Struthio camelus: one gene and its partners. The protein of the gene in region 2 interacts with the protein of the main gene of each other region in a pairwise test. Links are inferred from orthologs where the notes say so. Each region holds a gene or a part of one and is shown on either strand. Other genes may lie near its edges. The genes, in order: AEN, AAMP and BHLHE40.

What was found.
Region 1: the proteins of AAMP (region 2) and AEN interact in binary tests that used the Homo sapiens proteins (3 or more experiments, as listed by UniProt). The link is inferred for Struthio camelus from reciprocal best matches to the Homo sapiens genes AAMP and AEN.
Region 3: the proteins of AAMP (region 2) and BHLHE40 interact in a two-hybrid assay, tested with the Homo sapiens proteins (2 studies listed by BioGRID and IntAct). The link is inferred for Struthio camelus from reciprocal best matches to the Homo sapiens genes AAMP and BHLHE40.

The regions. Positions count from the first base shown.
Region 1 is NC_090953.1:9,579,432-9,586,600, reverse strand, and holds the start of AEN (apoptosis-enhancing nuclease), read right to left. Parts: upstream 3,018-7,169; 5' UTR 2,900-3,017; intron 1,515-2,899; exon of another isoform or gene 1,512-1,514; 5' UTR 1,510-1,511; coding exon 790-1,509; intron 1-789. UniProt on the Homo sapiens protein: Exonuclease with activity against single- and double-stranded DNA and RNA. Mediates p53-induced apoptosis.
Region 2 is NC_090947.1:28,586,161-28,594,044, forward strand, and holds the start of AAMP (angio-associated migratory cell protein), read left to right. Parts: upstream 1-4,851; 5' UTR 4,852-4,962; coding exon 4,963-5,050; intron 5,051-5,571; coding exon 5,572-5,724; intron 5,725-6,257; coding exon 6,258-6,377; intron 6,378-6,607; coding exon 6,608-6,747; intron 6,748-7,222; coding exon 7,223-7,367; intron 7,368-7,572; coding exon 7,573-7,656; intron 7,657-7,884. Other genes in the region: TMBIM1 (protein lifeguard 3), read left to right, coding at 269-306, 613-700, 871-966, 1,303-1,356, 1,516-1,659; uncharacterized protein, read right to left, coding at 3,555-3,714, 4,015-4,174, 4,615-4,642. UniProt on the Homo sapiens protein: Plays a role in angiogenesis and cell migration. In smooth muscle cell migration, may act through the RhoA pathway.
Region 3 is NC_090955.1:2,511,261-2,519,107, forward strand, and holds the start of BHLHE40 (class E basic helix-loop-helix protein 40), read right to left. Parts: upstream 3,031-7,847; 5' UTR 2,948-3,030; coding exon 2,865-2,947; intron 2,767-2,864; coding exon 2,697-2,766; intron 2,440-2,696; coding exon 2,332-2,439; intron 1,754-2,331; coding exon 1,630-1,753; intron 565-1,629; coding exon 1-564. UniProt on the Homo sapiens protein: Transcriptional repressor involved in the regulation of the circadian rhythm by negatively regulating the activity of the clock genes and clock-controlled genes.

The DNA of each region.
Region 1 (7,169 bases), on a different chromosome or scaffold from region 2:
TTAGACAAGCGGTGCAGCAAAAGAAACACAGATTACGTATAAAACAAACCATTTTGCATTAAATTTAGTTTCTTCGATTCTAATCTTTTAGGTTCCCAGAACTGAGAGGTAATCAGCTGGTCCCATTACACAGTGTTACTTAAGTCCACAGCAGCACAAGGCAGGCACGTAGTGCACTGGTTAAAGCCTTAAGGCACAGATGCTCAGCTACAGCAAACCAACCTCAGACAAGGCTTAGGGGGCTCCTGGTCCTGTGCTTGTGTCTGTACATCAGAGCAGCTCAGCATGGGTCTCCTCTTAGCCAGTTTGGGGCTGGCAGATAACATGCAATTTTTTTTGTTTTTTAATAAACAAAAGCACGGTATTACTGCTTTTAATTAAACATGAATTTAATGATAACTTTTTTGCAAAGTGACAAGAACCATTTATGACAGGACTTCACTGAATATTTCTAACTCCCTCCCACGGACACAGTCCTGCTGGAGGGGCTGTTGCTGTTTGCCTGCGGTTTGTTTGCAGCAGTTTAAGATTTTTGGCAGGAGAGAGACTCCTGAGAGACTGGAAGTAAACAGAAGCTAAGCAGCACCATTTTTATAAGTAAAAATCCCCGCCATGAGATGGACCAGAAGGAGGTGCTGGTGTGGGCACAGGACTCGCTATGGACTTGTCTGAATCCTGGTAAAAGGGTGTTGGGGCACGGTCATCCCAACAGGGAACGGAGCAAAGCCTAGCTCAGGGCTGCGTGGTCGTACCCCTCCTGCCCCCGGGGCTTACATCTCCCCATTTCACCTCTGCCTGAGCAGCCCTGAAAGGAATTGCATTCTTCATGTGTTGCTTCGTGATCCCACTCCAGCGCGTCCGGTAGTCCACGATGGGGAGCTCGGGCTGGACGTATTTGTCATAGACAACATCCCCCTCGTAGTTCACCACGGTGCACCGTGCCAGCTCGCTCAGCTTCCCCCGAGGGCCGGTGCCCACCATCTCACAGTCGATGGCCACGTACTTCCCTGGGCGCAGGAGCGGCAAGGATGTCCGCAACCCCGTGGAGCTGCCACTGTCATCCTGGGACAGCAGTGCAGAGTGGTGCCTGGCTATGCTGTCCGGAGAGGTGGATGGGGACAGGGAGAGGACCTGCTTGGGCTTCCCGACCTTCCCGCACTGCGGTTCGCTGGCCAGCTGGCTGCATTTGCTGCCCGCCTTGGTGAGCGAGCTGCAGGCGGCCTCCACTGGCCTGGCCGTAGGGACCTGGCCAACTTGCCGCTTGCGGGGTCTCAGCAGCCCCTTCTGCTCCAGCAGCGCCCTGCGCTCCAGGAACCGCTGGTGCTTGCGGCTCTTCTTCTTGCTGCGCCCCTGCGGCGAGCCAGGGCCCTCGGAGGCCATCTGGGGGCAGAGGGGTGCTGGGGGCCGAGGGCTGCCCTCCGCAGCAGGGCCATGAGCAGCCTTCGGGGCTGGTGCAGAAACCTTTGGGGGGCCCAGGAGCGGGGTCATCTGCCCCTTGCCAGGAGACATCCCTGCTGGAACGGGCACGGGGGTTAGCGCCACACAGCCCCACACCAGCACTCCCAGAAGAGAAGGGGGCTGGCACACCCCACCGCAGAGCCCTCCCGGCCCCCAACCGCGGGCAGGAGTGGGCAGCCCTGGTGGGGGACAAGAGGCAGGAAGGGGGGATGCTGCAACCCCTGGGACCCAGGCCCCTGCATGCACCATTACTGGCCCCAGGCCCCCCGCCCACCACACAGCCTGGCCCCCTTGCCTGCTCCATTACTGGGCCCCAAGCCCCTGCCTGCCCCACTGCCTGGCCCCCCGCCCACCCCACTGCCCGGCCCCAGGCCCCCCTGCCCACCCCGCTGCCCGGACCCAGGCCCCCCTGCCCGGCCCCAGGCTCCCCTGCCCGGCCCCAGGCCCCCCCTGCCCACCCTGCTGTCTAGCGCCAGGCCCCCCTGCCCGGCCCCAGGCCCCCGTGCCCAGCCCGCTGCCCGGCCCCAGGCCTCCCTGCCCGGCCCCAGGCTCCCATACCCGGCCCCAGGCCCCCCTGCCCACCCCGCTGTCCAGCCCCAGGCCCCCATACCCAGCCCCAGGCCCCCCTGCCCAGCCCGCTGCCTGGCCCCAGGCCCCCCTGCCCAGCCCCAGACTCCCACACCCGGCCCCAGGCCCCCCTGCCCACCCTGCTGTCTAGCGCCAGGCCCCCATACCCGGCCCCAGGCCCCCCTGCCCACCCTGCTGTCTACCGCCAGGCCCCCACACCCGGCCCCAGGCCCCCCTGCCCACCCTGCTGTCTACCGCCAGGCCCCCATACCCGGCCCCAGGCCCCCCTGCCCACCCTGCTGTCTACCGCCAGGCCCCCATACCCGGCCCCAGGCCCCCCTGCCCAGCCCCAGGCTCCCATACCCGGCCCCAGGCCCCCCCTGCCCACCCCGCTGCCCGGCCCCAGGCCCCCATACCCGGCCCCAGGCCCCCCTGCCCACCCCGCTGCCCGGCCCCAGGCCCCCATACCCGGCCCCAGGCTCCCCTGCCCACCCCGCTGTCCGGCCCCAGGCCCCCCTGCCCAGCCCCAGGCTCCCATACCCGGCCCCAGGCCCCCCTGCCCAGCCCCAGGCTCCCATACCCGGCCCCAGGCCCCCCTACCCAGCCCTAGGGCCCCTTGCCCGCCCCGCTGCCCGGCCGCAGGCCCCCCTGCCCGTCCCACAGCCCGGCCCCAGGCCCCCTGCCCGCCCGATAGCCCAGCTCCAGGCCCCCCTGCCCACCCCTAGGCCCCCTGCCCGCCTCGTTACTAGGCCCCGGCTCTCCGTCCGCCCCATAGCTCAGGACCAGGCCCCCCCCCCCCCCCAGCCCCAGAACCTCCTGCCCGCCCCTTTACAAGCCCCGACCCCCGCCCCCCCACGCACAACCCCTCACCCACCGCTGCCCGGCCCGGCCCGGCCCGGCTCCCACGTGTCTCTGCCGGAAGCCGCCGCGCTCACATGCCCGGGCAAGCCGCGCCGTGGCCCCGCCCCCGATCCCTCCCACTGGCTGCGTGGGGGCTAGATTTGCATAAAGGGGCGGGGCGAGAGCGCCCCTCTGGCTGGGGCGAGGCTGCGGGGGCCCCCGCCTGTAGGGCTGGTCTCTCCCCGCGTGGGTTCGGCTATAGGGCTGGCCTTCCCGCCCCCCCGCACGCGTGGGCCCGCAGGCAGGGGCTCTCCTCCCTAAATGAGCTATAGGGCAGGAGGCACCTGGCTATAGGGCCCTGCCTCTAGGGCCGAGGTGCTCCCAGAAAGGGCCCTCGCTGTAGGGAACTCCTCGTTCGTTCAGGGCGGCTGATGTAAGAAGGAACTAAACCCAGCGCTGGGAAAAGAGCAGGTGCCCGTGGACAGGACACGGCCCTCCCGGTGCCCCGTTGCTCCCGGGGCTGCTCCGGATGCTGGTCTCCTCTTTGCTTCTGCCTACCCGACCTCTGAGCCCGTTCCCGCTGGGATGGGGCCTTTCCAGAGGCACTCGGCTGGGGGCATCTCTGAACCAGTCAGAAACTTTTTTGGTGGTCCCATCCCTTGGTGGCGCAGGGAAGGGGACATTAGCTCTCCTGATCATCCTCCGGCACCGTCCCGCCACCCAAGCGTGCCGGTACCTGTCGCAGCGTCTCCCCTCCCGCCCGTGGGCCCAGGCGAGCGTGTGGTGGCGGCAGCTGCCAGCCGGCTCGGCCCGGTGCCCGGCGCTTCCCGGGCCGCGGCGGACGCAGACGGGGGTTTCAGACCGGCCTCTCGTTGCTTTCCCCTGCCAGGCTCACGAAAGCAACGGCCGAGGTGATCAGAAGCGGAGCCGGGTCGCCCAGCCGCGCCGTGGCCCGGGGGGCCCCCGCGCCGGCCCTGCGCTTCGTGCGGTCGCCGGAGAGGCCGGGCGCCCTAAGGCAGACTGTGACTTGTTGTCGTGAGGCGAGCTATACAACAACAAAATCACTAGTCTTCCACAGGGGGCCGGGCACGACGTGCGTCCTCGTCCCGCCGCGGCGGCCCGCTGGCTCTGAGCGGCCCGGCCTGCCCGCCGCCCCGCTGCCGGGCCTCGCGGCGCTGTGGCCCGACGCAGCTGGACCGCGTCCCGTTTCGGGGCTGCGTGTCGGTGCCCAAGAGCGCTGCGTTGGACGGCCGTGGCGTTCGGGCCCGCCGCTGGCGAGCCTGCGGCCGGAGGGGCCGTTGTCCTGAGCCTGCAGGCGGCTCCTCCGCGGCCCCTGCGCGGGTGCGCTGGATGTGGCCGCCTGGGCTGGCCTAAAGTGGTTTTTTGTGGCAAGAAGTGCGTTTCCCCACGTCTTAGGGAAGCAGTTCAGCTTGTTGCCCCGGGCTAAGCGTGCAGGACCAGTGTTAGCGTGCTCTTTTGTTTCCCTTTTAAACCACCTGTGGGCTTGTTCTGCCTGTTCAGAATTAAAAGAATTAAATCACCCCGTAATTTAATTTTTCCTCGTCCTTTTACATTTTTCTTCCGGCTAGTAAACCTTTTCCTTAAATCTATTGCTCTGCGCTTTGCATATCTCGCTTCCTTCCCTGCTGTTAAGCTAATTTAATTCCCCCTAATGAGAGTCTTTAAAGTGTCCCACAATAACTTGTCAGGAAGCCCTGGCAGGTCTCCTTGTAGAAATTTCTGCTCGTTTTTGTTATTTCTGGTGAAATGGTGCAACGCCGCTCGTGGTGACGGTTCATTTTGGGTTGCTGGGGGTCACTGTGCCCTGCACGCCCCTGTACGCAGGCAGTGAGCTGACTGTTGCAGCATCGCCTCTGCGACCACCTCGAGCTCGGTGCTAGAGAAATGAAGAGCGCCGGCGTGCGACCGCTGGTGTGGGGCCGCAGCGGGAGCCCGCGAGACAGCACCCAGCGTGTGCCAGGGGACTGGCTCTTGAGGGCTTTTCCCTGGTACCGTCATTGCTGTTTTGCTTTCCTAGGGATGATTAACCCCCCCAAAGCATTAAAGTTACGACCATTGCTGCAAAGGGCTGCAGAAGCCTTCCGGACGCTGCGCGTGCTGGCGAGCCGGCTGGAGCTGGGTGCAGCCGGGCACCCTGAGCGCAAGTGCTGAGGTTATTACGAATAAAGCTCCGGTGCTCAGCGCTGTTGCAGAGCAATCGCCATAGAAAGCAACACGGTCTGACCTGTGTTTCACGCTCCGACGCGGATACCGCGCGCTTTTCCCGACTCCACCAGAGGTGCACACAGGAATGGAGGGGGCCGGGCCGGCTGGCACCTGCTCCCCGGCTCAGCGGCCCCCTCTCGCGAAACAAGGCTCTCACCGGGGGCTGGCTTGGCCTGCCTGCCCTGGCACCGCTGCTCGAATCCTCTGCCAGAGACTGAGCTGCAAAGCCAAACCAATTTACAGCTCCCCCATCCCAAGAGCCTGTATATTTAGAATAGCCAATCGATTAGGGCAACCACCAGCAGCTCCCAGCGGAAGCGTGGGCATGAAAAGGGGCCACGTTCGTCTTGTAAATAAGATGTTGTCAGGTACTGGCTCAGCCTGGATTTCAAAGGGGCCAAGCGGATGTGATAGCCCTTCCTCGGGCTGAGATGATGCAAGTGCTCTTTCTTCCCCTCCCTCCCTCCCCCTTCCCTTCGCTCCTGCTCGGAAGCAGCCAGCAGGTTCGTAGCATTTTGTGACCTTTCCATCAAACTGCTCGTCTCCAGCTGCGGCTGGAAAAGTGTAGGTGAGATGCTGAGGCTGCTCCGAGGCTGAGGTGGGAGCTTATCCTTCCTCCTGCCTGCTGAATGCCAGGTGCTGGCCACAGTGCCGGCAGAGCCTGGAGAAACAGCAGCGAGATGCCAAACCTACCTCTGAAACTGCAGTGGGGGGAGCACCGCGGGAGAGACGGCATGTTGCTTCCCATGGTGTCAGCGCAGATGGGGCAGATGTAGCTGGCTGGGTGAGGGGTGAAACTCAGGGGGATCAGCAATACATGCAATTCAGGCAGTGAAGCTCATTCCAGGTTTTCCAGCGAGCAAAGCCCTTCAGATGCTTGTTAACAGAGGATCACTCTGCCTGTGATATTTCTGGTTGGTGTGCAAGAATTACTGATTTCAGTGCAATCCTGGTCCTGTTGAAGGGGATTTCTTGGGCATTGTTCCCTGATTGTCTCTGGGAATGGCGAACCCAAGGTATGCAGGACCTGTTTCCTATAGGAAGCTCTCCTCTGTCAAGTCATCTCTGGAAACCCACTGGGGAATGGTTTAGCAACTAGTTCAAATATCATCTGAACTTCCCTTGAGCTGTTCCAGCGTCGGTGACTTCTCTGCACCTCTACAGCTTCTTTCCCACCAAAACTGGCTCGAGAGTTGTAGGACCACGGCTTTGCATTGCCAGCATGGCAACAACAGGCTTTCCCCAGACCTGGGAGATCCAGGCGGGCAAAGATGTGGTGTCACTGGCTGCTCTTCTTTTTCGCATGCTGTAGCGGGACAGGGAGTGCTCTGAACTGCTCAGAGACCTGATCTCTCTCTGGGAGAAAGCAGGAGCAGGACAAGGTATAACTCAAGGCATCTCCCAGAGCTGCAGCCAGAATCTGGCCCATAGAAACTTCCCTAAGAGGTTGTCTAAAATCTCCTAGCTGAGATCCATCAGCTGTGCTGTGCTTATTGATGAACATGGTTGACAGCTTCTCCTCTGACACAGTGCTGTTGTACTCCTGGGTCTGATTAGTCATTGCTTGTCCACAATAAACCCATCCATCTCGCTTACTCTTTGCTCAGCAATCTTCTTTCCCAGGCATTACGTTTTGCAAAAGGCATGTGATTCTCCTTGACAGTGCAAAGTTCTAGCTGTACCCTCGTGGTTCCAAAGGAATCTTGATAGCGGCAATTAAGAGCTTGGGGGGAGGAGGCAAAAACTTTTTCCAGTTTTACAAGGCTGTGATCGGTCTGACTGCAAGGGAATAGCAGTGTCATTTTTCTCCTGTATCCCAGGTGTAGGGATGGAAGTGAAAAAGTCAAAATTGCTTTAAATGGGTCCATGTGAGTATCGTGGACTCCTCTGGTTCCACTAACCTCTATGCTATAAGCTCAGGATTATCAGTAGATAGTTCTCATATCATCTTTGCTTCAGTGAAAAAGGAAGGAGGCTGTTTCTGCAGGGAAAGTCTGCACAGCAAAGAGTTTGCACCAGGGAAATGATGCAAGAAGGACCGGCAAATATGGCAGCAGATTGTGTGCAGTCCTCCTGTT
Region 2 (7,884 bases):
CCGGTGTTACGCCAGCTGCCCCCTCGCTCCGTGTGGCCTGGGATGCCCTTAGCCCCCGGGGAGGAGGGGGGCAGCCCCTGCACTGCTGGCATGCGCAGTGAAGGAGGGAGGTTACGTGGGGAAGGAGCGGGGGCAGCAAGGAACTGCCCCACGGACGGACGGCAGTGCCCGTCGAAGGGGCAGAACAGACCCGCATCCCCAGAGGGTAAATCTGCCCCCAGGGCTGCTGGTTGCATTGCTGAATGAACCCTTCTCCTCTCTCCTGCAGACGCTGGCCATGGGGTTCATGACGGGGACGATCGCCAGGTACTCACCGGGGATCCTGGGGCCCTTCAGGGCAGGGGCTGTGGGCACAGACCCCGAGCAGAGATGCAGAGATTGGGGCCGGCCTTTGCCTTCAACGCCCAGAGTCCAACCCATCCTGCTGTCAGGCCGGCTCAAACGAGGGGCAGTGAAGCCCCTGGACGCAGGGTCCGTGCGGTCCCTCTGCAAGATCACAGCCACGGGGCCATGGGGACGGCCTTGGGGAGTGTAAATACCCTCTGGGCAGGGGGACCCTTTTCCTGGCTCCCCCGAAGCATGGGGTGACGCTGGTGTCCTCTCTGTCCACAGCATGTACAGGACCAACGCCGTCCTCATTGCTATGCTCATCACTGCCATCGTGGCCATCATTGTCACCGTCTTCTGCTTCCAGACCAAGGTGAGGTGCAGAGGCAGGCTGTGAAGGCCTCCCCGATGTAGGGTACGGCCGGGGTTGGATGCTCGGTGCGGGGTTGCTGGGGACACTGCTGTCCCTGCAGGCTGCCCTGTGGCCCCGGTGAGCTCAGCATGGCCCTGAGCTTTCCCATGACACGTCCACCCTCCTGGCAGGTTGATTTTACATCGTGTCCTGGGCTCTTCTGCGTGCTGGGCATCGTGGTGATGGTCACCGGGATCGTCACGGCCATCGTCCTCTCTTTCAAATACGTGAGTAGAGGGGGCTGCAGAGCGCCACGAGTCACCCTTGCCTGTCTGGGCAAGCAGCTGGGTCCCCCTAGCTGTAACCCAGTGGCAGCTTGGCCCCGGGGATGGCAGAGGTGGGATTGGGAGCGGGTGGTGGGTGGATCCCCTTGACCTGGGCTGGTGCCAGGAAGCAGCGTGTGGTGTCAGCGCAGAGGCAGCTTTCCCGCAGAGAGAGGGTGCGGCTTGCGGTATCTCCGGGGAAACTGGGTGCAGGCAGAGTCCCACGTGCCAGCCCAGGGGCTGGGGCAGGGCTGTGCCTTGCGGTCACCTGCTCACGGGTCATCGTCTCCCCGCCTGCAGGTCCCCTGGCTCCACATGCTGTATGCGGCCATCGGAGCCATCGCCTTCACCCTGGTGAGTTGACAGCTCAGGCGCTTTCCCTCCTGGGCTGGGTCCCTCTGCGGGGTGTAGCAGGGGGCTGTGCTCCCAAAGTAGTCATTCGGAGGTGGGGGGGGCAGATACCCCCAGGAGATCACCAATATCTCTGCCTGACTCTCGCTGTGCTCTTCCCAGTTCCTAGCCTACGACACCCAGCTGGTGCTGGGGAACAGGAAGAACACGCTGAGCCCCGAGGAGTACGTCTACGGTGCCCTGACCATCTACACCGACATTGTGTATATCTTCACCTCCATACTGCAGCTTGTGGGCCGGGACTAGCCCCTGCCCTGCACCGGGCCCCCTCTTCTCCTTGCCGACCTCTGCTTCTCTCCCTCTCCTCCACAAAGCTGCTCCTCTCCCATCTTGTCCTTGCCCCAGGAGCCTGGCAGAGCAGCACGTGCCCGAGGTGGGTCGGTGTCACTGGGCTCCTGCTGGCCCCTCTGCTAGGCCCTGTAGCCCTCCCGCTGCTGCAGGCCAGCTCTGTGCCCCGCAAGGTGTCTGTCCCTGGACCAGGGTGCCCAGCTGGCCCCCAGGACAAGGGGCTGTGCTCAGTGCCGGAGCCCCCACGGTCACAGCCGGAGTCGGGGGCACAGCTCAGGCACAGGGGGGGTCCTCGGTGCCTGGGCAGGGCTGCCACCACCCCCCGATCCGCGGGTTCACTCGGCACGCGCCTGGTGCACAGTCGGAAGGAAAGGCAGAGGTCAGGGGCCTGGCATGAGGGCGAGGCTTCCCGGCGGGGCGGTGTTTCCTAAGCTTGTAAATAAGCAGCAAAACCAGTGCCTGTATGCACTATACGGCCAGTTACCGGCTCTCAGCCTGGTCCGAGATTACTCCTAATGCTTCAGCACCCCTACCTGTAGGCTGCTAAGGAAGGGGCTCCCCTTGACCCCTCCCAGTCTCTGGAGCCTGGGAGGTAGTGGGGGAACCAGCCAGCAGCATTCAGCCAGGACCCAGCCTCAGCGCCCATTCCCTGAGGACGCACTGGTGCGTTGGCAGTGCTGCTGTTACGCTGCCATGCATTAAACAGCCTTGTGCTTGCACAAGGGCAGTTGTGCGGCGGTTGCTGCCTCGGAGCTGAGGCCAGATGTGTCTGCCTGATGTGGCACCTCCCATGCAGCCACTGGAGGGGCTGGCAGCACTGGCGGGCAGGGCCGAGCTGCTGTCTCGCCCCAGGCTCCCAAGGAACATGTCAGGCCCTGGCTTTTTGCAGAGATGCTCTGGTCTGATCCAGCTTCATTCACTCAGTGCCTTAAATGTAGCTGCTCTGTGGCTGCCCCATGGCTTGCCCAGCCCCCCTGCCTAGCCATGCCTGCCACAAGCTCTGGCAGTGCTTGCTCTGGGCCGAGGCAGCCAGGACCCCTGCAGTGGGATTGGGGACATCTGTACAAAGCTTGTGTTACAAAGGACTCGCAGCCGTGGGAGCAGCCTGCCTGGCCCTCGGATGTGGCCAAAGTTGCACTTGCTAAATAAAACACTTTAATTTTCCAAACAGCTGAGTCTGCTTTGTGGGGTGAGCCCATCCAGGATGCCAACGCCTACCCACCATATTGAGCTCCCAGATCTCCCCAAGATTGGGAGGAGCTGGAGTTCGCAGAACACCTTGGCCAAAAGGCTCAGCTCTCCCAGCAGGGCTGCGGGTTATCGGATGGGGCTGAGCGGGCACCAGGAGGAGGGTGAGCAAGCAGCAACTCCCTCAGAAAGCTCTGAGCCACGTCAGCAGGGGCAGCAGCTCACAGCAACACAAACCTTGCCTTGTAGAGATAAAGTCAAGGCTGAGCTGTTCCAAGCGGTGGCCTCCCAGCTGCCTTTCCCTCCCACCCCCGCAGGCAGGGCTGGGCCCCTGGCTGCGCACAGCACACTCTGCAAAGGGTGCCCGTGACAGGCAAGTCAGCGCAGCTGGGAAATACTCCCGTGGGAGAGGAAGGAGGAGCAGGCAGAGCCTGGGGCTGAGCACAGAGGGAGTGATGACAGTGGTACAGGGCTCTTTCACTCCCCATACCCGAGGGGAGAGGTTTATTTACCCCCATCCAGCCCTCCCCGACTGCCACACGTACTGGAGAGGGGAGAGCAGGCCCCAGTGCCCTGTGCCAGCAAGGTAGGCATGTCCCTGGACAGTCCCTTCAGGGGCACGGCCTGTCCCTGCCGTGGTGTCCGGCTCTGAGGGGGCGGCCTGGCTATGCCCCCCTGACTGCCCTCTTGTATCGCTCTGTTTCGTACTTGCCCTCGTTGGATCCCATCATCTTCCGGCGGATCTTGAGCTGCTCCAGGCGGTTTTTGTCCACTTGCTGCTTGGCCAGGAGGAAAAGCACGATGCCAGAGGGTAACCCGATGGCCCTGCAGGACAGCCAGCAGGCAGGAGATGGAGAGGGTCAGCAGGGCAACAAGGGGCCTGTGCCACCCTGGGATGGGACAGACACCCACCGCACTTAGTGCTGCAGCCCTGGGCTCCCCAGGGACCCCCCCCCCGGGCCCCACGGCCCCACACAACAGCGTGCTGCAAAGGGGCCTCTGGGGTCCCCGGATCACGAGCACCAGACCGGGGCAGCCGTGGGACCCTCCGCAGACAGTGACCCCCCCCCCCAGCACCCGTCCCAGGGCCACGCTACCCTCCCAGCAAAAAGCGCCGCCACTCACCAGGCCACCCCGACCATCTTCATGGGGTTCTTGCCCTTGCGCGTGGGGATGTACTCCACCCCCTCGGGGAGCTGCCCGCCGCCCGCCGAGCCGGCCCGTGACTCTGCCGCCGGCTGGCAGCCCCGCCGGAGGAGCCGGGCCCCCGCCGGGGCCGCCAGCCCTGGTAGCAGAGAGGGGGGGTCAGCGGCTGCCTCGGAGCCCCCCTGGGTCCGGGACCCCCGGGCCTAACCCCACCCGGGGGGGGGCGCCCGCACCCCCACCCTGCCCCCTCCTCGGGGGGGGCGCGCCTGGGGGCGTGGCCATGGCCGGGAGGGGCGTGGTCTCAGAGGGTGTGGGGCGGGAAAACCCGAGGGGGCGTGGTCAATGCCTCGGGGGGGCGTTGCCGACCCCCCGAGGAAGCGGGGCTTTCGGAGGGGCGTCACATCACGGCGGGGCGGGGCCAAGCTCCGGAGGGGCGGGACGGGAAGGGGTTGCCTAGGGCGATGGGGGCGTGGCTAAGGGCCTGGGGGCTGCGAGGGCGGGGCTATGTGTCGAGGGTCTCGAGGGACAGGGTCGCTCCCACCCCGGGGCCGCCCCCCCCCCACCCCGGCCTCGCGTTACCCCGCAGTCCGCCGAGTACCGCCGCCATCGTACCCGCCCCTGCCCGTTTCCCGTCGTGCCCCGCGCTCCAGGTGTGACGCTGAGTGCCGGGAGTTGTAGTCTGCCGCGCGGGGGCCGCCGGGAGGAGGCACTGCCTGGGCAGGGCGCGAAGAACTACAACTCCCACAGCACCCCGCGCGGGACGGCGTCAGCCTACCCTGCTGGCGGACTGACGGGGGAGGGGTGGGGCTTGAGTGAGGAAGCGGGCGAGGACTGGCTAGAGGGAGTTTCCCGGTGGGAAGGGATTGGCCGGGGCGGGGCGAGCGGCGGAAGCGGAGGCAGCAGGGTCGGGTGCGCGGGCAGGCCGGCATGGAGCCCGCGGAGGAGCCGGGCGCGCTGGGCTTCCACGGCGACGAGGAGATCATCGAGGTGGTGGAGCTGGGCCCGCCCGGGCCGGGTGAGACGAGGCGCCCCCGGGCCGGGGCACGGGGACGAGCCCTGCGGGGGGCACCCGGCCTCCCCCTGGGGGCACCGGGCCCGGGCTCGGCCCTCGGGGCGGGGTTGTACGGGCCTGGCCGCAGGGCCTCCCCCTCGGGTTGCAGCCGGCCCGGGGCTGGGGCCGGCGGCGGCTGGACGAGCCGGTGGCAGTGCAGGGGGTTGCACGGAGCGTGCTGCCCTCCGGTGCCCGCTGTCCCCGGAGCCCCAGGACTGAGCAGACCCCCCCCGCTGCCCTTCCCCACGGCTCGGCTGCCCCCGGGGAGCGGTGAACGGCTGCTGCCTCTGCCCGAAGCCCCCTGCGCCCACAAAACCGGTCCTCTTAGCTGGATCGAGCCCCTTCGTCCCTCAGAGCTGGCCCTGGCTCCCACCAGGACTCCCCGGGGGCCCTGTCCTTGCCCACTGCTGGTTGCCCTGTTTAGGCTGAGCTGGTCTGGCTCTGGGGCAGGCTGCCAACCAGGCGCTGACGTTAGCTCTCTGTAGATGACCTGGCCGACGAGATGGAGGACGTGGACTTTGATGAGGGGGCAGATGAGCCTGATGCCGAGGCTTGGGAGACAGAAGAGGATGATGAGGGGGTGGAGGACAGCATGGAGGCGCAGGACGACAGCGAGGTCACGTTCTCCCTGCACTCAGGTGAGTGGTGAGCCTGAGTGGACAGCGGGGCTCTGCTGGGGTGGTTGCCGGGGGGGTGCTGCCTTCTGGGACCTGCTTCAATCCCTGTTCTCCACAGTGGAAGGGAACACAGGTAGGGCCTTGCTAGTGTGCTGTCTCCCTGCTGTTTCTGGGCCGTTTATCAAAATTCAGAGTTGGGTGCTTTCAGCTTTGCTCGTTTCTTCCCTACACTGCTGTAGAGAAGCTTCCTGTGGAAGCCTTGGGGATGCTCCTTATCAGGAGCGGAGCTTCTGCTCTAGGTACTTTCAGACCTCAGGGCTTCCTAGCATGGCCTTGACAGCTAGCAATGAGCTTGGCAGACAGCCTGTACTGCTCTGGCAGGGCCCAAATCGCTACCCAGTGGGAAGAACTGATCCCCAGTGGTTTGGGTTTTTAGTCCAGCTGGGTGGCATCTCACCTAGTCCTGATACTGTGTGGTTTGGAGCCCTTGGCAATGTCTGATGGGGCATGAGGAGTGTCTGAGCTGTGTAGTCACTTTCTGCTCTTTTGTGCAGCTTCTGTTTTCTGTGTGAGCCTTGACCCCAAGACCAACACACTGGCGGTGACAGGTGGGGAGGATGACAAGGCCTTCGTGTGGCGCCTGAGTGATGGAGAGCTCCTGTTTGAATGCTCAGGTGAGGTGCTTTGGCCAGGTCATCCTCTGCACCAGGGGGGCAGCGGGAACGCTGCAGGAGGATGCGCACTGGGGAAAATGATAGGGGTGAAATTATGGCGTGTCCCCTCCCAGCAGCGTCTCTCCAGACCTGCTCTCCTCCCACGCAGTGCTCTGGTGGAGCCAGGCTCCTGATCATCTTCCATAGCTGCATTTGGTAATTAAATAATTTCTACTTCCTGCCATCTCTAGGACACAAGGACTCAGTCACTTGTGCTGGCTTCAGTCACGACTCTGTGTTTGTGGCCACAGGCGATATGTCCGGGCTCATCAAAGTGTGGCAAGTGGATACCAAGGAAGAAGTGTGGTCCTTTGAGGTGGGGGACTTGGAGGTGAGTGGCTGAACTGGCTCTTATGGGGCTGGCACCTGGGACCCAGGTCTGATTCCTCTCCCTTCTGCTCTCTGCTGGGTGGCAGGGATGGATGCTGGCCCGTGCCAGTCCTACCAGTTGAACCCATCATCCAGCAAAGTCATCACTGGAGATTTTGGTGCCGCTCAGTGCAGCGTGAACATGTAGTCCCTGAATACCCTCCTGGCTGCTCCATGCAGGGCTAGTTCAGGCCCCTCAAGCTCCAAGTTGAAGACTTTTCCCTTTACAGTAACACCAAGAGGGCTCGAGCCCGCAGCAGGACCCTCTCATGGCAGGCCCAAGCTGAGCACAGAGCTAATGAGAGCAGGCTCAGGGCTAGGGTCATGCATGGTTGTACTTTGGCCCAGGGCAGGGCAAGGGGGAGTTTGATCCTTTCTCTGGGGTCCTCTAAACCCAAGGCCACCCTGTGACATTGCATGTCCCTCGCTCTGCGCAGTGGATGGAGTGGCATCCTCAAGCCCATGTCCTTCTGGCGGGCACAGCCGATGGCAACTCCTGGATGTGGAAGATCCCCAGCGGAGACTGCAAAACCTTCCAGGGCCCTGCGTGCCCGGCCACGTGTGGCAAGATCCTGCCTGATGGTGAGGCACAGAGGCTGTCTGGGGAGGGGAGTGTCACCAGCTCTGGCTATGAGGCCCCTTGCAGATCCTGCTGGAACCATGTGCCACCCTTTTTCTGCAGAGCTAGGGGCACCCCAGGGTGCCTGGCTCTGTCCAGTCTGGGCTGAGCAGGAGGTGGAGGGGTGAGGGAGGCTCTGGCTCTAGCTGCCAGTTCTGTCTCATCCAGGGAAGAGAGCGGTGGTTGGATATGAAGATGGGACCATGCGCATCTGGGACCTGAAGCAGGGAACCTCGCTGCATGTCCTGAAAGGTTGGAAAAGGGTTAATCACCGGGGGGGGGGGGGGCTTTCTAGTTGGGGAATGGGCTTCCAGTGGGCTCTGATGTCTGCCCTTGGGAAGAGGTGGCTCCTTATGAGGCCACGGGCTGCTGGAGGAGGCCTGAGACTGGGTGGGCTGGCTGGGTTTCCCTGCTGAATTACCCCTCTCCCCTTGGGTGGCTAGTCCCTGCCACGGGGGTGCTGGGTGCTGTGGGGGCAGT
Region 3 (7,847 bases), on a different chromosome or scaffold from region 2:
GAGGGCCCAGAAAGCTACTTGCAGAGCCCATCACGTCACTGCTAAAAGGGCCTTCGTCTTCGGAAGTTTCCATCCTGGTCCTTTTGGCTGGTGGGTCCTCAGTCTCTTGCTTAATAGAGCTTATTCTCTCCTGGACAGTATATTTGAGTTCCGTATCCTTTTTAAAATACTGCTGCTCGGATTTGGAGTCACTTTTCTCCAGCTCTCCCCCATAGCCGCTGTCTGTGTCGGTGTCGCTGCCGCTCTGCTCGCCGCTGGAAGGAGCGAATGTCCTCTGTATCACCGGCACGCAGTTTTTGCCATGTCCCTCGGCCGCTCTGGTCAAGGAGCCAGACTTCTCCTTCGAGTCCACTGTTTTCGGAGGGATGTCTGCGGCTTTTCGGCCGGCTCCGCCCTGGAGCACCTCGGAGGCCATTCGGTGCAGATGGCCGACCAGCTGAGAAGACTTCAGGTCCTTGCCGTTCTCGTGCTTTGCCAGGTATTGCAGCATCTCCTTGGCGCACATCTGGAAACCGGATCGAAACATTTCCTGGCTGGAATCGAGGTTTCTTGATGACAGGTCACCTGAGGAAACGTTAGCAGAAAGAAATTAAAAATTAACAACGTGCTAAATAGGTCCATTCCCATCTTCGAGGCACCCTGGAGAGAAGGGCTTCACCTCCGCTGCTACAAAACAGCTGAACAGGCGAACCTGAGGGTCAAACCGTGTTTTACACGCGCTCCCCTGATTTCTGTACAGGCATACGTTGTTTCTTCTTACATCCACCCGTCCACTTTTGGATGTGAATTTCAAATTTGTTTTTTATTTCTAGGTCTCCTGTACGTGGCAACTGTAACACGGGTGCAGGTATGGAGAAACAGCAGTGAATCAACCTGGTACCTCCGCAGGGAAGAAGCGGTTTGAAAGCCAGTTTGCAACCCGCTTCCTTCCCACCAGGAAGGGAGCGCTTGCAGCAAGCTCACCCTCCTTCAGCTCCAGGAACCGAGGGCCGTTTTGCTTCAGCTATAGGACCTTGGCTTAAAGCTCGATCGCACACCCCGTGGCTATTAAAGCAGTGGAAATCTCTTTAGAACAGCTAAATTTTACTTTATCAGATTCACGTGAGTGCCACGTGTGAAAACAGGAGAAGGAAGTACATTTAAAGCACAATAAGCCGCTAGACCTGGCCCCCTCTTAGCCGACAGCAACACGGGCTGATCAGTTTAGAAAGAAGCCTAAAAAAAAAAAAAAAAGGTGTGTGCAAAAAAAGGCAGATGCTTTCATATTTTTGAGGAGGGAAAAAAAAAAACGGATTTGGTCCAAAGCTCCTAAACACCAATAGAAAGGCTCGGATGCCTTCGGAGAGAACCTTAAGCAAAACCGAGCTTTAAATAAAACTAGTAACGTTCAAATGAATTTTAAAACAAAACTCTCAGCGCGCTCTGAACTGACCGAACTAAGAAACGAAAAGCGTCTTTCTCCTGAGGACTCATGAGCAGAGTGAGGGAAGAGGAAGGCGATTAAAAGAAAGAACTCCTTCCTCCTCCTCCCTGCCCTGGGACCAAGTGCCACCAGGGCACGGCGCGGGCTGGGAAAGAGAGTCCAGGGCGCGCAGGCAGGTTCTCGCTCGCTGGGCTTTGAACACTCACCGGCTTGTAAGCCGTTCTGCAGGGCAATTATCTTCTGCTGCTGCTGCTCAATGAGGTTGGTCAGCGCCTTCACGTGCTTCAAGGTAAGCTCCAGAACCACCGCCTTCTCCAGGTGCCCCAGAGTCTGCAAGCCAAAGGGACGGGTCGGCGCCGGCCGCCTCCGACCGCGGGGAGCCCAAAAGGGCTTCCAGCGTTTTCAGAGCGACGGGCAGGGGCGGACGGCGCCGGGAGGCAAGGCTGGCGGGGCAGCGCCGTCGCCCGGGGCGGGGAGGGGGGGGCCCTGCTTCGCCCGAAAACCTATCTTTCTCGAACCTGCAAATAAACGAACTCGAAAGCAGGCCGCAGAAAAGGCTACCGTCGTGTCTCACGGTTATTTTCGGACCGACCGCATAGCTCACAGAGAAGTATTTTATTGATCTGTTCTGCTGCCCCTGCTGGTATCGTGACCTTAGCGCAGGGGAAGGCAGCCCGGAGCGGGCCCGAGAGCCGAGGGGAGCCCGGCTCTCCTCCGGGACCGCCAACAAAGCCAGCGGCGCCCGGGGTCGCGGAGGCGGGTGAACCCCCCCCCAGCCTTTCCGTGGGGTGGCAAGGGAAAACCCGCTCAGAGAGAGCGCCAAGGCCTGGGGGACCCCTGGGAGGGCGGTGGTGGCAGAGCCCTGGCGGGGGGACGGGGCGGCGGGGCGCCCCCCCCCCCCCACTTACGGTGAGTTTGAGATGCTCGGGCAGGAGGTCCTTCAGCTGGGCGATGCACTCGTTGATGCGGTCGCGCCTCTTCTTCTCGATGAGCCTGTGCGGCAGCTTGTAGGTCTCCTGGGGGGGAGGCAGAGGGGGCTGGGGCGGGGGCAGCGCGCCGCCGAGAGACCCCGCCGCCAGGCCAGGGGGCTTCGGCAGCATTTTTGGGGGGTGGGGGGGGGGTGCGGCAGGGTGGCTACAAGCGGGGCGCAAGGGCGCGGGGCAGGCAGCGCCCCCGGGGCGCGCAGAAAGTTTTCGGGCAAACCGCTGCCGAAAATCGGGAAAGGACGAGCTGCGCCCCCCCAAACCCCGGTCGGGGTCCCCCCCCCCTTCACCTTACTGTCGTCGCTCCTCTTCAGCCCCCTCCGCGGCTTGTACACTTGGTACATGTGGGCGAAGTCCAGCCTGCACGAGCGGAGGGAAAAGCGGGCGGGTTAGAGCGGCGCAGGGCGCAGCGCGGCGCAGCCCCCCGCGCAGCGCGGCGCAGCCCCCCCGGCGCTCACCCCGGCCCGTCGGTGCCCTCCAGGGCGGGCAGCTTGCCCAGGCACAGCGGCGGCGGCGGCGGGGCGCCGGGCAGCCGCTCCATGGCTGCGCGGGGCTGCGCGGGGCTGCGCGCTCAGGCGGCGGCGCGGCGGCGGCTCATGGCGCGCGGGCTGCGCGCGGCTGAGCGCGGCGGGGCGCGGCGGGCTGGGTTAAGTGCGGGCGGGCGGCGGCGGGCGCGGCCCGGGCGCTGCGGGCGGCGGCGGTGGCGGCGGCGGGGCCGCCTCTCTCCCCCCCCCCCCCTTTCCTTCCCTCCCTCCCTCCGGTCACATGAGTCTCACGTGGCGGCTCGTCTCCCCCCCCCCCCCTTTCTCCGCTCCGCGCCGCCCCGCGCAACGTGACGGCGGCGCCGCGTGGGAACGCGCCGCGCTGGGGAGCGCAGCCGCCGCCCGCCGTGCCCGGGGGCGGCCCCGCTCCGCCGGCCTCCGAGCTGCGCACGGGCGGCCCCGCGCTGCAGCCTGCGCCCTCTCCCTGCAGCCCGCGCTGCAGCCCGCGCGTTGTCCCTGCAGCCTGCGCTGCGCGCTGTCCCTGCGCGCTGCCCTGGACCCTGCCCCTGCACGCCACCCTGGGCACTGTCCCTGCACGCCGCACCACATGTGATCCCTGCGTGCTGCCCTGCACGCTGTCCCTGCACGCTGCCCTGGGCACTCTCCTTGCACAGCACACCATACACTGTCCCTGCCTGCTGCCCTGGGCACTACGCCTGCACGCCGCACCACATGTGATCTCTGCACGCTGCCCTGCACCCTGCACTGCTCACTGTCCCCGCATGCTGCCCCGCACGCTGTCCTTGCATGCTGCCTTGGGCACTGTCCCTGCACTCCACAGCACATGTGATCCCTGCACGCTGCCCTGCACAGCACACCACGCACTATGCCTGTGCGCTGCCCTGCCCTGCACGCTGCCCTGCACGCTGTCCCTGCACACTGTCCCTGCACGTCACCCTGCGCGCTGCCCTGCACGCTGTCCCTGCGCGCTGTCCCTGCACACTGCCCTGCACGCTGTCCCTTCACACTGTCCCTGCACGTCGCCCTGCACGCTGCCCTGCACGCTGCCCCTGCACTGTCCCTGCATGCCGCCCTGCATGTCGCCCTGCACGCTGTCCCTGCACGCTGCCCTGCACGCTGCCCTGCACGCTGTCCCTGCGCGCTGCCCTGCACGCTGTCCCTGCACGCTGTCCCTGCGCGCTGTCCCTGCACGCTGTCCCTGCACGCTGCCCCTGCGCGCTGTCCCTGCACGCTGTCCCTGCACGCTGTCCCTGCACGCTGTCCCTGCACGTCGCCCTGCGTGCTGCCCTGCATGCTGCCCTGCACGCTGTCCCTGCACACTGTCCCTGCACGCTGCCCTGCACGCTGTCCCTGCACGTCGCCCTGCACGCTGCCCTTCACACTGTCCCTGCACGTCGCCCTGCGCGCTGCCCTGCACGCTGTCCCTGCACACTGTCCCTGCACGCTGCCCTGCGCGCTGCCCTGCACGCTGCCCCTGCACGCTGCCCTGCACGCTGTCCCTGCACACTGTCCCTGCACGCTGCCCTGCACGTTGTCCCTGCACGCTGCCCTGCACGCTGTCCCTGCACACTGTCCCTGCACGCTGCCCTGCACGCTGTCCCTGTGCGCTGCCCCTGCACGCTGTCCCTGCACGCTGTCCCTGCGTGCTGCCCTGCACGCTGCCCTGCACGCTGTCCCTGCACGCTGTCCCTGCGTGCTGCCCTGCACGCTGCCCTGCACGCTGCCCTGCACGCTGCCCCTGCACGCTGTCCCTGCACGCTGCCCCTGCACGCTGTCCCTGCACGCTGTCCCTGCGTGCTGCCCTGCACGCTGCCCCTGCACGCTGCCCTGCACACTGTCCCTGCACGCTGCCCCTGCACACCGCCCTGCACGCTGTCCCTGCACACTGTCCCTGCACGCTGCCCTGCACGCTGTCCCTGCACGCTGTCCCTGCACGTCGCCCTGCACACTGTCCCTGCACGCTGCCCCTGCACGCTGCCCCTGCACGCTGCCCTGCACACCGCCCTGGGCACTATCCCTGCGTGCCGCACCGCATGCGATCTCTGCGTGCTGCCCTGCTCGTTATCCCTCCGCGCTACAGGAGCGCGGCCTCCACCTTGCGCCTGTGCCTTGGGCGCAGGGTGTGCAGGTGAACGTTTTATCGGCACAGCTGCGGTGTTAAAGGCTGCTCTTTCATACCAATATCCGTATACAGATTAAGGAAAAACAACAACAACAACAAAGAAACACATAAGCTGATACCCATATTAAACGCAGCCTCTGAACTAGGGAAACCCAGGGCGAAGCGACTGGGAGTCCAGGCCTGCTAGGGAACGGTTAGAGGGAGGTGCTATTTCTTGCCCGTCTCAGACGCTTCGGAGGTTTCAGTCTCCGGCGGAGCAGCCGGGATCCTTGGATGCCAGCTGCTGGCAGACGCCGCGTAGGACTGCGGCGGTGCGTGCCCGCCGGAGCGTGCCTTTCCTCCGGAAGGGTGCTGGTCATTTACCCTGCTGCGTGCGGAACAAGTAGAGGCAAGTTCACCCGATAAAAGGCGCATTTACCTAGAGAAGGCAACGGGAGCGGAGGGCAGAGCCGTCGCTGCCTCCCCGGGGGGTTCTGCACGCTCCCTGCAGGGAGGAACCTGCGGGCCGCAGGGATCACGTTGGGGCCTAAAGAGGTCTTACGCGAGAGACGGGGGCACCCGCTTTAAGGCACACCGTCGTTTGAGGATGCGTGTTATTACCAGGAGAAATCCTAGGAGAAATCAGAGCCCTGCAGCAATCTGCTAGCCTTGACTATAAGCTCTGTAAAAAAAAACAAAAAGCCAAACAATTCCTTACAAGAGCCAAGTGCATCTCCAGCACAAACGATACACCACTGCATTAACGACCCAGAGCTTCCGAAAAAAAAGATGCTTAGGTTGTGCCGGGCAATAGGCCTGTCCCAGTCAGTATGGTCTTCTCTGTATTTTGCGGCCCAGGTCTGCAAACGTGACATTTATCAGCAGGGCCAGCTCAGGCGCTTTGAGGGTCTGCCGTGATGCTGCAGACCCTGCCCACGAGCGAGACGATTCCAGCTCATCGGAGAGGACGTAGGTGTTGACAATTAAGCATCGCGCGTACACAGGGGTAGGATCAGACCTCCGGCCTGTAAACTTCTCAAAGCAGAGATTGTCGTTCATGCGGGTGCTTAATAAATTTGGTAATCATCGCCACAAAAATGAAAGCGATGTCTTTGTCCTTGCAGATGAGGTGAAAGCGAACAGAACCGGCATAAATAACGGGGAGTGAATCAGATGGTTAACTCTCTTTTTGCTCTGAAGATCTCAGGTGTGATCTGCCAAACAAAGGGGGAGAATCACATACGCTTTTCAGTCTGTGCCATCACTGACCCTCTGTCTAAGGCAACAGACATAATTAGAGCTTGCTGCAGCTGATTGCTAATGAAAAATGAGGTTTGGGGCCAACCTGCTCTGCATTTTAAGTTTAAACTCAGAGTGTACGTGGACAATTTCATGCCCATGAATTGTTTGACTCTTGCATGCTCTTTCAGATATTCGGTACATTCCTGCAGTGGGTGGTGAGCTACAAATCAGGGTCAGAGGTAATCCCCAATTATTTAGCCCTTTTACTGTTCTCGTGCTTGCCAAACAATTCTCCATATCAGGATTTACTCATGACCTTAAGGGAAGTTGCCAAGGATTTAGGAGTCCCCCTAAAAAGAGGATCCAAATGAAGTTATTACATTCTTGGGCATCAAGTTAGATTGCTGGAGAGTTGAATTACATTTTCCTGAGGATCAGTTTTCATAAGCTAAGGCTGATGCAATCATCAGTTTGCCATCTCGATTTTTTTTTTGTTGTTGTTGTTGCTGATTTATTTCTGCGTGGAAGGTTCTTTTACAACGTATGATTGAGGCAACAGCAAAACGTTTAAAAAGGCTTAATTTTCTAAAGCCATTAAGGGAGAAACTGGCCTTTCGAGCGCTCGTTTCAGAACGGCCGAGTGTCACAGGATAGCAGCAGCTTGCGTCCAACAGGGATTTGTAGTTATTTACAGATACGTTAAAAGGCAAGGGTTTGCAGTTTGTTTTTGAAGGTGTGCTGAAGGCTGGCGAAAGGGATTGAGTCCCTGGACGTGTTTCTTCCTGAGGGCTTGTCCCCTTCCAGCCACGAGGGTGGCAATTTGGGGTGAAACGTTCTGAAAATCACTGGCGCTGATGTCTGATCGGAGCCTATGTGGGCAGCGCTGGGAGTTAACAGATGGGTTGTGGATTCAAGCTTACGATAAGGTTACTGAGGGTGGTTTTGTTTTAAAATGTCTCTTACTTAATATATCCATGAAGGCCAGGCATGTGCCTGTGGCCTGTAATCAAATAGCTGACTCTCCTTCTCTCTCATTTCCAGCAATCTCGTGTCAGGTTACTGGCACCGGAGGTTAAAGAACAGCCATGTCTTGGACCACAAGCCAAGGTTGGAAGCTAAGGTTATGCCGAGCAGGAGGAGCTGCATGGAAGTGGTTAGCCCTCCGCATCTGACGGGCGTCCTCCAAGGGCTTTCTAGTTAACACCCATTACTTTCTGCAGAAGTAGAAGTTCACGGGGGAGCCAAGCAGTCTGTAAGGCAGCCGCGTGGAGCAGCTAGGTATAGCCTTCTACCAACCTTTACTCAGCAGATGTGGCAGGTCTTTCCCAAGACGGGCAGATCTCCAGCCCGTGGGAGGAGCGCTGAAGCCAGGCAATATTGCATCCTTCACCAAACGCTCGCCGTTTTACCGGGGCCTGGGCTGGGCGGTCGTTAGACTTCTTGCTCAGCGTAGCAATTTTTGAGCCAGGTTTCAGGAGCGCTCAAGATCAGCAGCTTACTGAAGGCCCTAGGCATATCATTTCTCAGCCTTATTGGTAAAGGCAAGCCCATGAGAACCCGCGCTCACCAGCCTGGCGGAGGATCCCCAAATCCTT